Linked DNA regions of Oryctolagus cuniculus. Each later gene encodes a partner of the first gene's protein in a complex. Links are inferred from orthologs where the notes say so. Each region holds a gene or a part of one and is shown in the gene's direction. Other genes may lie near its edges.

Region 1 (3,649 bases):
CACATTAGTAGGGAGCTGAGTTGGAAGTGGAGCATCTGGGACTCCAGCTGGTGCCTGTTTGGGATGCCAGCATTGCAGGTTGTGGCTTAACCCATATGCCACTGTGGCTTCAATGCTATGCCGCAGTGGCAGCTCCTCTCATTACTTCTTTCCTGAACTTTTCCCTCAGTCCTTTTCCTGGGATCATGGTCCTTCCTTAGTTGCTCTGGTTCTTCTCTGTGGTAGAGGCAAGTGCAGGGCCTCTGTCCACCATCTTGGCTCCATGCTACACCTATTCTTGGACTTATTGTCTGTGGCTGCTTTTGTCCTGCAGCCAGAGTTGAGTACTTGTGACAGAGACCTAATTGTTTGCAATGTCTATGATATTTTTTATCTGGCCCTTTATAGAAAAATTTGCTGACCCTTAATTTTGTACCAGATTTCATCCATGTACACCTGCAGTACTTTAGTTTCTCAAAGTGCTTTACCTACCTCTTCTATTTTGTCTTTATAACTTGTATACACGTGAGTGTACCCATGTGAGTATGTGTATTGGTAAATGCACATGTGTGTGAATTTAGGACCCAGAAAATCCACAAATAAGTATCTTACTAGAGCAAAGAAGAGAAGGTTTGCTGTGTTCCGTCCACACTGTCTTAAGAGAGTTAGTCTTTGTGATTTTCTGCTCTCTTCTCTATCCCAGACCAATTTTCTGTCAGCCCATTCAGCAAGGGATGAGGCAGCAAGGCTGGAAGAGCGCAGGGGTGTGATTGAATTTCACGTGGTTGGCAATTCCCTGAACCAAAAGCCGAACAAGAGGATCCTGATGTGGCTGGTCGGCCTGCAGAATGTGTTCTCCCATCAGCTGCCCCGAATGCCAAAAGAGTATATCACGCGGCTCGTCTTTGACCCGTAAGTTTTGTGTTAGCTCTTCCTCCTTCTTTGTTTCCTTTTACAATGGAAGACAAACTACTTAGATGGTGAAAGTCTGCCACAGTCTACCACAGAAGTCTCTTCTCCCTCCTGCGATGATGTGCTATGGAGTTTCATCAAGCTGATTTTCATGTCAAAAGGTACTGCAGTTGATTTCCCCACAATTTACACATTTTTCTTTTATAAATATTTATTTATTTGAAAGGCAGGAAGACAGAGAAAAAGAGAGAGAGAGAGATATCTTCCATCACGGTTTACTTCCCACATGGCCACAAATATTTGTTCACTTTATAGAACTCCATGCAGGTCTCCATGAGTGTCTGGTGCCCAATTACTTGGGCCATCTTCTGCTTCTTTCCCATGCACATTAGCATACAGCTGGGTCAGAAGCTGGACAGCTGGGACTTTAACCAGCACTCCCATATCAGATGCCAGCATCTCAGGCAGTGGTTTAATGGGCTGTGCCACAACTCCAGCCTCTATAATTTCTTGTTAATGATGATGAAGCTTTATATTTTAAGTTTTTTGGTGACTATGCTGTGTTCGTTTACTATAGAGTAGAGAGAACTACACACTAAGACGATATCCCACTTTTTTTTTTTTTTTAATAGTCAAAAGGCTTCTAGTTTTAATACCTTAACTAGGTTTCATTGTTGCCCATATTGGTAAAAGTTGGGAAAATTATTGAGAAATAAGTCAAATTAACTCTGCAAATCCATTGTTTTAAATTTTTTTTTAAAACCCTAAACCCCAAATTGATTTATTTAAATGTATTTTGACATATATAGCTCAACAGCCTATGTGGACTCTGATCTTCTTGTGTGACAATTCAGAATGATACTTGAGACAGAGAGAGGGTCTGATGGGGGTCTGGCAAACTGTACATGTGAATTTCATATTCTTCCATATTGTTTCTGTAATATTTTTGACTAAGGCTAAACTTGTCGAGGACATGTGTTTGACCATTGCTTCATGTCCGCCCCTGACCTCCCACCCTGGGGTCCTTGGTGTGGGGGCTGCCAGTGCCACAGTACTCCATGCACACTCTGTTCTCTATCTGTAAGCTGCAGATGGTTCCTAGGTGACTGGTGTTTTGTTGTGGTGGGCACTGTGAAGAAGGCTTGTGCTGGCAAGCTTGATCTAAGAAGCCCAGAATAAAGGATGGTCTAACAAGATAGTGACCAGATGAAGGCATACCCCTAAAAATATATTTCTGTAATGTGGATAGTAAAACTTTAATGTAATTTTATTCTTTTCAGGAAACACAAAACCCTCGCTTTAATTAAAGATGGCCGTGTTATTGGTGGTATATGTTTCCGTATGTTCCCATCCCAAGGATTCACAGAGATTGTTTTCTGTGCTGTAACTTCAAATGAACAAGTCAAGGTAAGAGTAATCCAAGGTCTCAGAAGAAAAGGAGAACGTGGGGCTTCTTGCTAGAGCTGCAGAGCTTGGGAAGTTCTCTGTGCTGTGTCCAGAGAGGGCTCCAGTAGAATTCAGGACTACACTCACTGCAAGTATATGGATATGTTATGTGAGAATAGGTGGCTCCACACACCACTAAGTAAGGCTGTACCGTGGCTTTGTTGGACCTTGGGGCAAGGTACAGGGAAACTGTATAACCCAATGTGAAATTTACATGTAATTCAGCAAATGAAAGGATATTTGAAATAAAGCTCAGTTTTCATTTTCATTGTCAGTTTACACACACACACACACACACACAACTGGTAACACTGAATCATTAGAAAGGGTATAATTGATGTGGACTAGGATAAAAATTTGGCCAGTTTACACTTCTCAAAGATTTCTTAAGACTTTGTCCCTTGTCTGTAAAGGGGAGTTGTGGAAAATTTGCATAAGTTTATGATTAAATTTTAGAGTATTCATGGAGGTTTTGGCATGTGCTGGAATTTTTTTTAAATTTGTTTTCTTGTTTTGTTTCTTTTTCATGTCATGGTTTACCTTCCCAATAGTTCTTGGCATCAGTCCCTCCCTGGGAACTGTAGCTATGATTTAATGTTTTTTTTTTCTTAAGATTTATTTATTTACTTGAAAGAGTAACAAATACACAGAAAGAGAGAGAGAAAGAGAGAGAGAGAGACAGAGGCAGATCAGAAAGAGGTCTTTCATCCTGTGGTTCACTCCCCAAATAGCTGTAACAGCTGGAGCTCCGTGCTGCAGGCAGGAGCCCGGAACCCCACCCAGGTCTCCCATCTGAGTGGCAGGTTCAAATCAAGTGGATTTTACCCTTCTAGCACCCTTCACCTTGGACTAGCCACAGTTCAGGTGCTGGCAGAGATGCCAGAATTGAAACAATGCAGGCTTAAGGACATCTTTGGCTCCTTCGCCTTCAAAGAAGCAATGCTATTTACATAAACCAAAAATAAGTCACTGAAAGGGATTATTCTGTACTTGAGGGTGACAACCAATGCAGTTGGTACTTTTGCTTTCATTAGTGGCTTTTTTTTCTCAAGTCACAGTGCCAAGTACAGCTGCTGTGATGTAGTTGTTCTCACAAAGCACAAGTGGAGCTTTTTGTCTTTGACTTCTAGCATTAAGTACCAAAAGGCAAATGCGATTCAGCAGCCTTACGTTTATCATTCTGACTGGGGCAGTAAAGACCCACGTTTGCGTGAAACGGATCTCTGGCTTCTTTTCAAGGAATTCTGACAGTATGTCTTTAGATGGTGCTGTTGCTGTATTTATCATTTTTTCTCCTTAACCAAAATGAAAG
Region 2 (3,649 bases), on another chromosome or scaffold:
CGGGCATGATGGAAATGGACTGATAGATGATGCGAGTCAGTGGCCTTCTCTTGAGACTTGTGAAAATAAAGATTTGAGTGACAATGAAATGCTTTTTCATTCTTCTTGTCATGTTGTGGAAGAAAGCCACGAGGAAGAAGAGCTTAAGCCACCAGAACAAGAAGTAGAAATAGATAGAAATACCATTCAAGAAGAAGAAAAACAAGCAATTCCTGAGTTTTTTGAGGGGCGTCAAGCTAAAACACCAGAACGCTATTTGAAAATTAGAAATTACATTTTGGATCAGTGGTAAGAAAAAATTACATTTTAGATGCCTTTTTAAAAACCTGATACTCTTTAAGTGTTTTAGTTAGGCCTATGCAGAATTTAGAATTTTGGTGGCAATAAGAGTGTTTTCACATAACAGCATTTCAGTAGGAAAAATTTAACTTTCTCACAGTGAAACTTTTTTGAAAGCTTTGGTCATGTATAGCTGTCACAATACCATCTGTCTGTTCATCTGAGTGTTTGTGCTTGGAAAGAAAAGGGATGAATAACTGCTTCAAGAAGCAATTCCTTGGGACAGAAATAATGCAGATGTAGAACACTACTGTACTGGGAATAGGAGAGAATTTTTCTTTTTGGGATTTATCATGTACTTTAAGTGCAAAGAAGGAAAGATTTGGTGACAGAGGATGGTATCATTAAATGTGGCCTCTTTGCAGAAACTCCACCTGAACAGCTGTCTTAAATGCCTTCAGCTTTAAACTTGTGGTGGAATATGCTAATAATTTCTTCATCCAGCTTCATCAAGGTCCAGGAATTTTCTAATATGTGAAATTTACCCTCTAAATTGTTAATACATTTTACTTGAACTATTTAGTGGGCCTAGGGAGCAAACCAAAAAACTTCTTACCTCGTTAACCTGATAAAAGTAATTTGAAGTAATCTTGACATCTTAATTAAGCCATCATTAAACACTCATAATTGCTACTACTAGTTCATGAACTGTTGAATCATATAGGGCCATTTTTAGAGAGGGCTTCCCAGTTCCTTGAGTAGGGATTCTGCTTTGTCCCTTGTTTTTCTCTTTTGTTCTGTCTTCCTCTCCTTTGCAGTAACTTTCTGCTATAGCTTTGGAAGGTTACATAAAGGAAACTTAATAATGTGCCAAATCAATAGCCTTCATTTTGCCCACATAATATTAAGTCATTAGGTTTTTAAAGGTAGCAGTATTCTAAAAGGAGGATTTTTGTTCTTGTTCTTGATACATGGTTATCTTGCAGATGCTTGACATGCCAAAACAACTTCTGGGTAAGGAGGCAGCATAGTAAAGAATGCTGACAAGGAACAACTGTCATTTACATGGTACTTAGCTGCTTAAAGAAAGACTTGCTCTCTGTTCTTATTTGCTGTATAGGCCTCACAGCAGTCCTCTGACATAGTGAAAGGGACTTAACCAGCCACTGACTCCTGAAAGACTTCATTTCAAGTCTTGACTATAATCAAGTAAGGCAGAATAATTTGCATAGATACTGCAAATTATATGGCAGTAGTTTCCTAAACTATTTGTTTTAGTTGATGAAACCAATAGATACTGCTATTTAAACATGATGATTTAGGAAAATGGTGTGAAGGCTGAAAATAAATGTTTTTTTGTTTGTTTGTTTTGTTTTGTTTTGTTAGCCAGAGTGGACAGTGAGAGAGAGAGACAGAGAGAAAGGTCTTCCTTTGCCGTTGGTTCACCCTCCAATGGCCGCCACGGCTGGCACACTACAGCTGGAGCACCGTGCTGATCCGAAGCCAGGAGCCAGGTGCTTCTCCTGGTCTCCCATGCGGGTGCAGGGCCCAAGGACTTGGGCCATCCTCCACTGCCTTCCCGGGCCACAGCAGAGAGCTGGCCTGGAAGAGGGGCAACCGGGACAGAATCTGGCACCCCGACTGGGACTAGAACCTGGTGTACCGGTGGAGGATTAGCCTATTGAGCTGCGGCGCCGGCTTCTTTTTTGTTTGTTTTTAAAGATTTATTTATTTATTTATTTGAGAGGCAGAGTTACAGACAGAGAGAGGGAGACACAGAGGTAGAGGTCTTCCATCTACTGGTTCACTCCCCAAATGGCTGCAACGGCTGAAGCTGGGCCAGTCCAGAGCCAGGAGCTTCTTCCAGGTCTCCACACGGTTGTAGGAGCCCAAACATTTGGACCATCTGCCTTCCCAGACCATAAGCAGAGAGCTGGATCAAAGTAGCAGCCAGGACATGAACTAGCGCCCATATGGGATGCCAGTGCCACAGCCAGAGGCTTAACCTACTACACCACAGTACTAGTCCCTAAAATAAATGTTTTGAACTGTAACTAAAATCTGTTCTCTTCAGAAAAAGAATAGAAAATGGTTAGTGACTGGAGGTCGTCTTTAAAAAAAAAGACAGTTAAAGTTTTAAAAATAAAGTGCTACCTGTCAGATTTGTTTGCAGATAAAAGCAAATGCTGGTGACTCACTGCGTAAGGAAATTAAAAAAAAAAAAAATAAGTAACAATACCATGATTGAATATCTACCAAATGCCATGTATTGTATTTCCTTTTGACAACTCTGTCCACATTTTACAGATGAGAAAAATGAGGTCCACAGAGGATTAGAAACTTGTTCCAGGTCACACTAGGTAAAAGTAGTTTCAGAGTCTGCAGCCTGGACTCATTGTTTTCATATTCAACTCAGGGCCGTGGTCCTGGCTTTTCACTATTGTGGATGCTCTTTTCCCCCCATTTCTTGGCGAGTCTGGTTTCCTTATCTCCTTCAGATCTGCTCAAAGGAAAGAGCCTTTCCTTGACCACCCTATCTAAAATAGCTCACCTGTCTCCTCCCTCTCATTCTTTGTTCTCAGCCATAGAAATTATCACCACCCAAATACTGTATTTTTTGTGTCTTGTGTCCTCCCCACTGTGATGATAATATAGGTAACACAAAGGCTTATTGTTTGTTTTGTTCATTGTTAAATATCTAGTGCTTTGAACAATGCTTGAAATACGCAAACATTCATTTTGTTAGGAGGGAAAAATTAAACCTGTATTTACTATTTCATGAACACATACCTTTTTAAGAGTCCTGAGTTCAGCGCTATGCTAAGATTACTGAGTTCTCTTTGAAGCCTTTTGATTTGAGTAATTTTAATTAGATCAATCCAGTTTTCAGACTCCTACAGTTTTTTAGTATCCTTCTTCTTTCCTGGCTTTGTTGTACCATTTGTTTCTTACTTTCAAGACACATTGAAATTTCAACTTCTCTATGGAGGTTATGATACTCTTCCGTATCCCTTCTAACTTGACTACCTTCCCAGAAACTTCTCTAGAATTGATGATTTTATATCTGATCTCTGCTTAGAGAGGCCTCCCCTAAATACCCTATCTAAAATAGTCTGTGCCTGTTTGTTACACTGTGTTCCATTATCCTCTTCCTTCTTAATACTATTGCTGCCTGACAACATAATATGCATTTATTGATGTACGGATAGTCTTCCCCATTGGCATATAAGGTCTGTGGGGTCAGAACATTATGTTGTTCATCTTTATATCTCTAGTGCCTAGAAAAATGCCTAGTGTGTAGGAAGCAAAAAAGGTATTTTTAGAATAAAATGACTGAATGAGAAATATCTATATTATGTGACATACATTG
Region 3 (3,749 bases), on another chromosome or scaffold:
AGCAGCCAGGGCACAGAGTCCTCCCTCTATGCCCATGGCTATCTCAAGGGCACCAAGGGCCCTGGCATCACTGGAACCAAAGGGGACCCAGCTGGAGCAGGTAAGCCCCAGCATCTCTTCCTGAGCTCATGGTGGGGGCCAGCAGGCAGGGGGTCTGGGCCCCAGCCTTCACAGGCATCCTCCTTCCCTGTGCATTTCCAGGTCCTGAGGCGTCCCTGGAACCTGGAGCAGACTCCATGTCACTGCAGGCTTTCTCCCGTGCCCAGGCTGGTGCGACCCCTGGCCTCTACCAACAGGCAGCAGCCGATGCCAGCAGTGGCCAGGGTGCTGCTGCCAACAGCCAGGTAAGTGGGCTCCAGGGGATCCCAGGGAGGCAACTGGGAAAGGGTGGCATTGGCAGACCCTGAGCCCTGTCCCCCTGTCTGGCCCCCTGACCAGTCATACACCATCATGTCACCTGCTGTGCTCAAATCGGAGCTCCAGAGCCCTACCCATCCCAGCTCTGCCCTGCCGCCGGCCACCAGCCCCACTGCCCAGGAGTCCTACAGCCAGTACCGTGAGTAGCCACAGCCTATGGGCGGGGTGGAGAGTTCTCGACACACCAGGGAAGAGCGTGATAACCCCCTCTCCCCCACCAGCTGTGCCTGACGTTTCCACCTACCAGTATGACGAGACATCTGGCTACTACTATGACCCTCAGACGGGCCTGTACTATGACCCCAACTCCCAGGTGATGGAGCAGACTGGGGAGGGCTGGGGTGAGACTGGGCAGCTCTCCCTGCAGGTCTCCTGGTCGGTCTTCCCTCATGCCCCCTCTGCCCCCCACAGTATTACTACAATGCTCAGAGCCAGCAGTACCTGTACTGGGATGGGGAGAGGCGGACCTACGTTCCTGCCCTGGAGCAGTCGGCTGACGGGCATAAGGAGACAGGGGCTCCCTCAAAGGAAGGCAAAGAGAAGAAGGAGAAGCACAAGACCAAGACAGCGCAGCAGGTGAACATCGGGCGACTGGCAGGCACCAGCTAGCTGGCAGGTGTCTTCTGACGACCACGTTCTTTCACCTCTGGCCTGCTGTCGCAGAGGGTGGTGGGCTGGTGACTGGGCAGGAGTAGTCACTAGGCCAGCTCTGCTCTTGGCCTGTTCAGTGCGTGGCAGGGCGGCCCACCCCCGGGAGGTGGCTCGCACTATCTCAATGAGCCCTGGCAGCTTTCCTCTGCCCCTGTGGGAAGCCTCGCACCACTCTTGCGGGGGTGTGTGTGTATAGGAGTGCGTCCTGCCGAGGACTTTCCACAGGCCCTGGAAGAAAGGCCTTGCTGTGTTTCGTAGTGGGCAGCGGGAGGGAGGCTCTGCGTCTGAGCAAATGGTCTGACAGTGGGGTGCAGCATGATGCTAAGTGCTGCCTCACCGACCTGGCGGCTTCTAAACATGGCGGTGAGCACAGGGGGCAACGTGGAATACAGCATTGCATCACGTGCGTAAATGGACAGTCTTGTGCTAACATGGAACAGCAAACGGGACAGTGTGGGTGCCTGTCGGGACATAGGAGCACACACAGAAAAGGGCTTGACGGAGCAGTGGTGACTGATGGCAGGGCAGTGGGAACTCAGCACCCCCAGCGTCTCCCACCTGTTGCTTACTCTGCCCCAGACTCCTGTTGTGTGCTGGGCCTGCCACTCTACCCAAACTGTTTCTATCACCTTGCCATTGCAAACCGGGGTGGGGTGGGGGGCACGCAGTTGGGGGTATTCAGAGATGAAATTGGTAGGGGCCAGGGAGCCAAGTGCTTCTCTGGCCCTGGTCACAATTTTGAGTTTGCTCTGGGTGTGAGGGGGGAACCGAGGAAGGGTTAAGAGGAAGTTATTTTAGGGGGAGGGCAAGTAGTTGATGAGAGTGTGGAGCTCAGAGCCACGGGCAGCCTGTTGCAGTGGTTCAGACCAGGGAGGCATGCTGGGTAGCTGGGCCCCAGGGTAGGAAGCAGCCGGGCTGCTGCAAGGGTTGTGGGTCCGTGGGTGCCATTGGTGGCCCCAGCAGCCTGAGGGTTCCTGGGAGCCTCACCCCTACCTTCATGCCCAGATTGCCAAGGATATGGAACGCTGGGCCCGCAGTCTCAACAAACAAAAAGAAAACTTCAAAAACAGCTTCCAGCCTATCAGCTCTCTGCGAGATGACGAAAGGCGGGAGTCAGCCACCGCGGATGCTGGCTATGCCATCCTGGAGAAGAAGGTGTGTTGTGGCTTCCCCACACCCCACCCTGCAATCCCGCCTTTCCTCCAGGGCCTCTGTGGAGTCCCTCGATATCTCTCCCTCCACTTCAGGGAGCACTGGCCGAGAGACAGCACACAAGCATGGATCTCCCGAAATTGGCCAGCGACGACCGCCCAGTGAGTGCCCTGGGCCCAGAGGGGCAAGGGAGTTTGTTCTTTGGCCAGGCCTGACTGCCCACCCTCACCCTCTGCAGAGCCCACCGCGGGGGCTAGTGGCAGCCTACAGCGGGGAGAGTGACAGTGAGGAGGAGCAGGAACGCGGGGGCCCTGAGCGCGAGGAGAAGCTCACAGACTGGCAGAAGCTGGCCTGTCTGCTCTGCCGGCGCCAGTTCCCCAGCAAGGAAGCACTCATCCGGCACCAGCAGCTCTCGGGGCTCCACAAGGTGACCAAGGGGAGGGTTGGGGGGGCATCTGGAGCCCGGTGCCCAGCCCAGTCCAGCCGCCTCACTCCGTGTCCCATCCTCTCTGCAGCAAAACCTTGAGATTCATCGGCGAGCCCATTTGTCGGAAAACGAGCTGGAAGCGCTAGAGAAGAACGACATGGAGGTGAGTTGCGACCCACTCCTGGGCCCCGCCTCCTCCATCCTTCCGAGTCTCCATCCCCTCAAGTTCTTTAGCCAGGTGTGATGCCTTGACTGCCATCAGCCATCTCACGCCCTTGTCCCTGCAAGGCTTCTTTCCCACCCAGCTCGCCCTCCCCCAACCTGCCACTTGGACCCGCGCTGTCCTGACCCTTAGGACCTGCGAGCCAGATGGAGCTCCCCGTGAGGCCCCCCACCCCCACCCCACCCCAGCAACCCCTGCCCAGGTCTCCCAAAAGCAGCGGCCAGCTCCCCAGCATGCACACACACAAACGCACACACACTTGCAGCAAATGAAGTACCGGGACCGTGCCGCTGAACGCAGAGAGAAGTACGGCATCCCCGAGCCCCCCGAGCCCAAGAGGAGGAAGTACGGCGGCATAGCGGCAGCCTCCGTGTGAGTGTGTGGGGCTGGGCAAGGGGGCCCGCGGCTTGCAGGCCAGCCGCTCACACTGCACACTGTCCCCTGCAGGGACTTTGAGCAGCCCACTCGGGATGGGCTGGGCAGTGACAACATCGGCAGTCGCATGCTCCAGGCCATGGGCTGGAAAGAGGGCAGCGGCCTGGGCCGTAAGAAGCAGGGCATCGTAACACCCATTGAGGTGAGTCTCCAGTGCTCCCAGCCCTGTCCCCCAGGGTCCCCCGCTGCATCCCTCAGCCAGCCTGACAGAACCTGCCTCCCTTCTTCCCTCACACAGGCCCAAACACGGGTGCGGGGCTCCGGCCTGGGTGCCCGGGGCAGCTCCTATGGGGTCACCTCCACCGAGTCCTACAAGGAGACACTGCACAAGACAATGGTGACCCGCTTCAACGAGGCCCAGTGAGCAGCTGCAAGAACATCTTCTTACATTATTGCGTTTCCATCCTGGGGCAGGGGATGATGATGTGTGGGTGGTTAGAGGGA

Evidence for each region.
Region 2: KAT2B (region 1) and MYSM1 share a complex: the UniProt entries of both Homo sapiens proteins name them as parts of the large chromatin remodeling complex. The link is inferred for Oryctolagus cuniculus from reciprocal best matches to the Homo sapiens genes KAT2B and MYSM1.
Region 3: KAT2B (region 1) and RBM10 share a complex: the UniProt entries of both Homo sapiens proteins name them as parts of the large chromatin remodeling complex. The link is inferred for Oryctolagus cuniculus from reciprocal best matches to the Homo sapiens genes KAT2B and RBM10.

Annotation. Positions count from the first base shown.
Region 1 is NC_091435.1:155,767,248-155,770,896, forward strand, and holds part of KAT2B (histone acetyltransferase KAT2B), read left to right. Parts: intron 1-682; coding exon 683-891; intron 892-2,171; coding exon 2,172-2,298; intron 2,299-3,649. UniProt on the Homo sapiens protein: Functions as a histone acetyltransferase (HAT) to promote transcriptional activation. Has significant histone acetyltransferase activity with core histones (H3 and H4), and also with nucleosome core particles.
Region 2 is NC_091438.1:114,368,153-114,371,801, forward strand, and holds part of MYSM1 (deubiquitinase MYSM1), read left to right. Parts: coding exon 1-288; intron 289-3,649. UniProt on the Homo sapiens protein: Metalloprotease with deubiquitinase activity that plays important regulator roles in hematopoietic stem cell function, blood cell production and immune response.
Region 3 is NC_091453.1:32,715,801-32,719,549, forward strand, and holds part of RBM10 (RNA-binding protein 10), read left to right. Parts: coding exon 1-100; intron 101-201; coding exon 202-344; intron 345-438; coding exon 439-556; intron 557-638; coding exon 639-730; intron 731-828; coding exon 829-993; intron 994-2,073; coding exon 2,074-2,223; intron 2,224-2,315; coding exon 2,316-2,381; intron 2,382-2,458; coding exon 2,459-2,647; intron 2,648-2,735; coding exon 2,736-2,810; intron 2,811-3,135; coding exon 3,136-3,242; intron 3,243-3,317; coding exon 3,318-3,447; intron 3,448-3,543; coding exon 3,544-3,669; 3' UTR 3,670-3,749. UniProt on the Homo sapiens protein: Binds to ssRNA containing the consensus sequence 5'-AGGUAA-3'. May be involved in post-transcriptional processing, most probably in mRNA splicing. Binds to RNA homopolymers, with a preference for poly(G) and poly(U) and little for poly(A).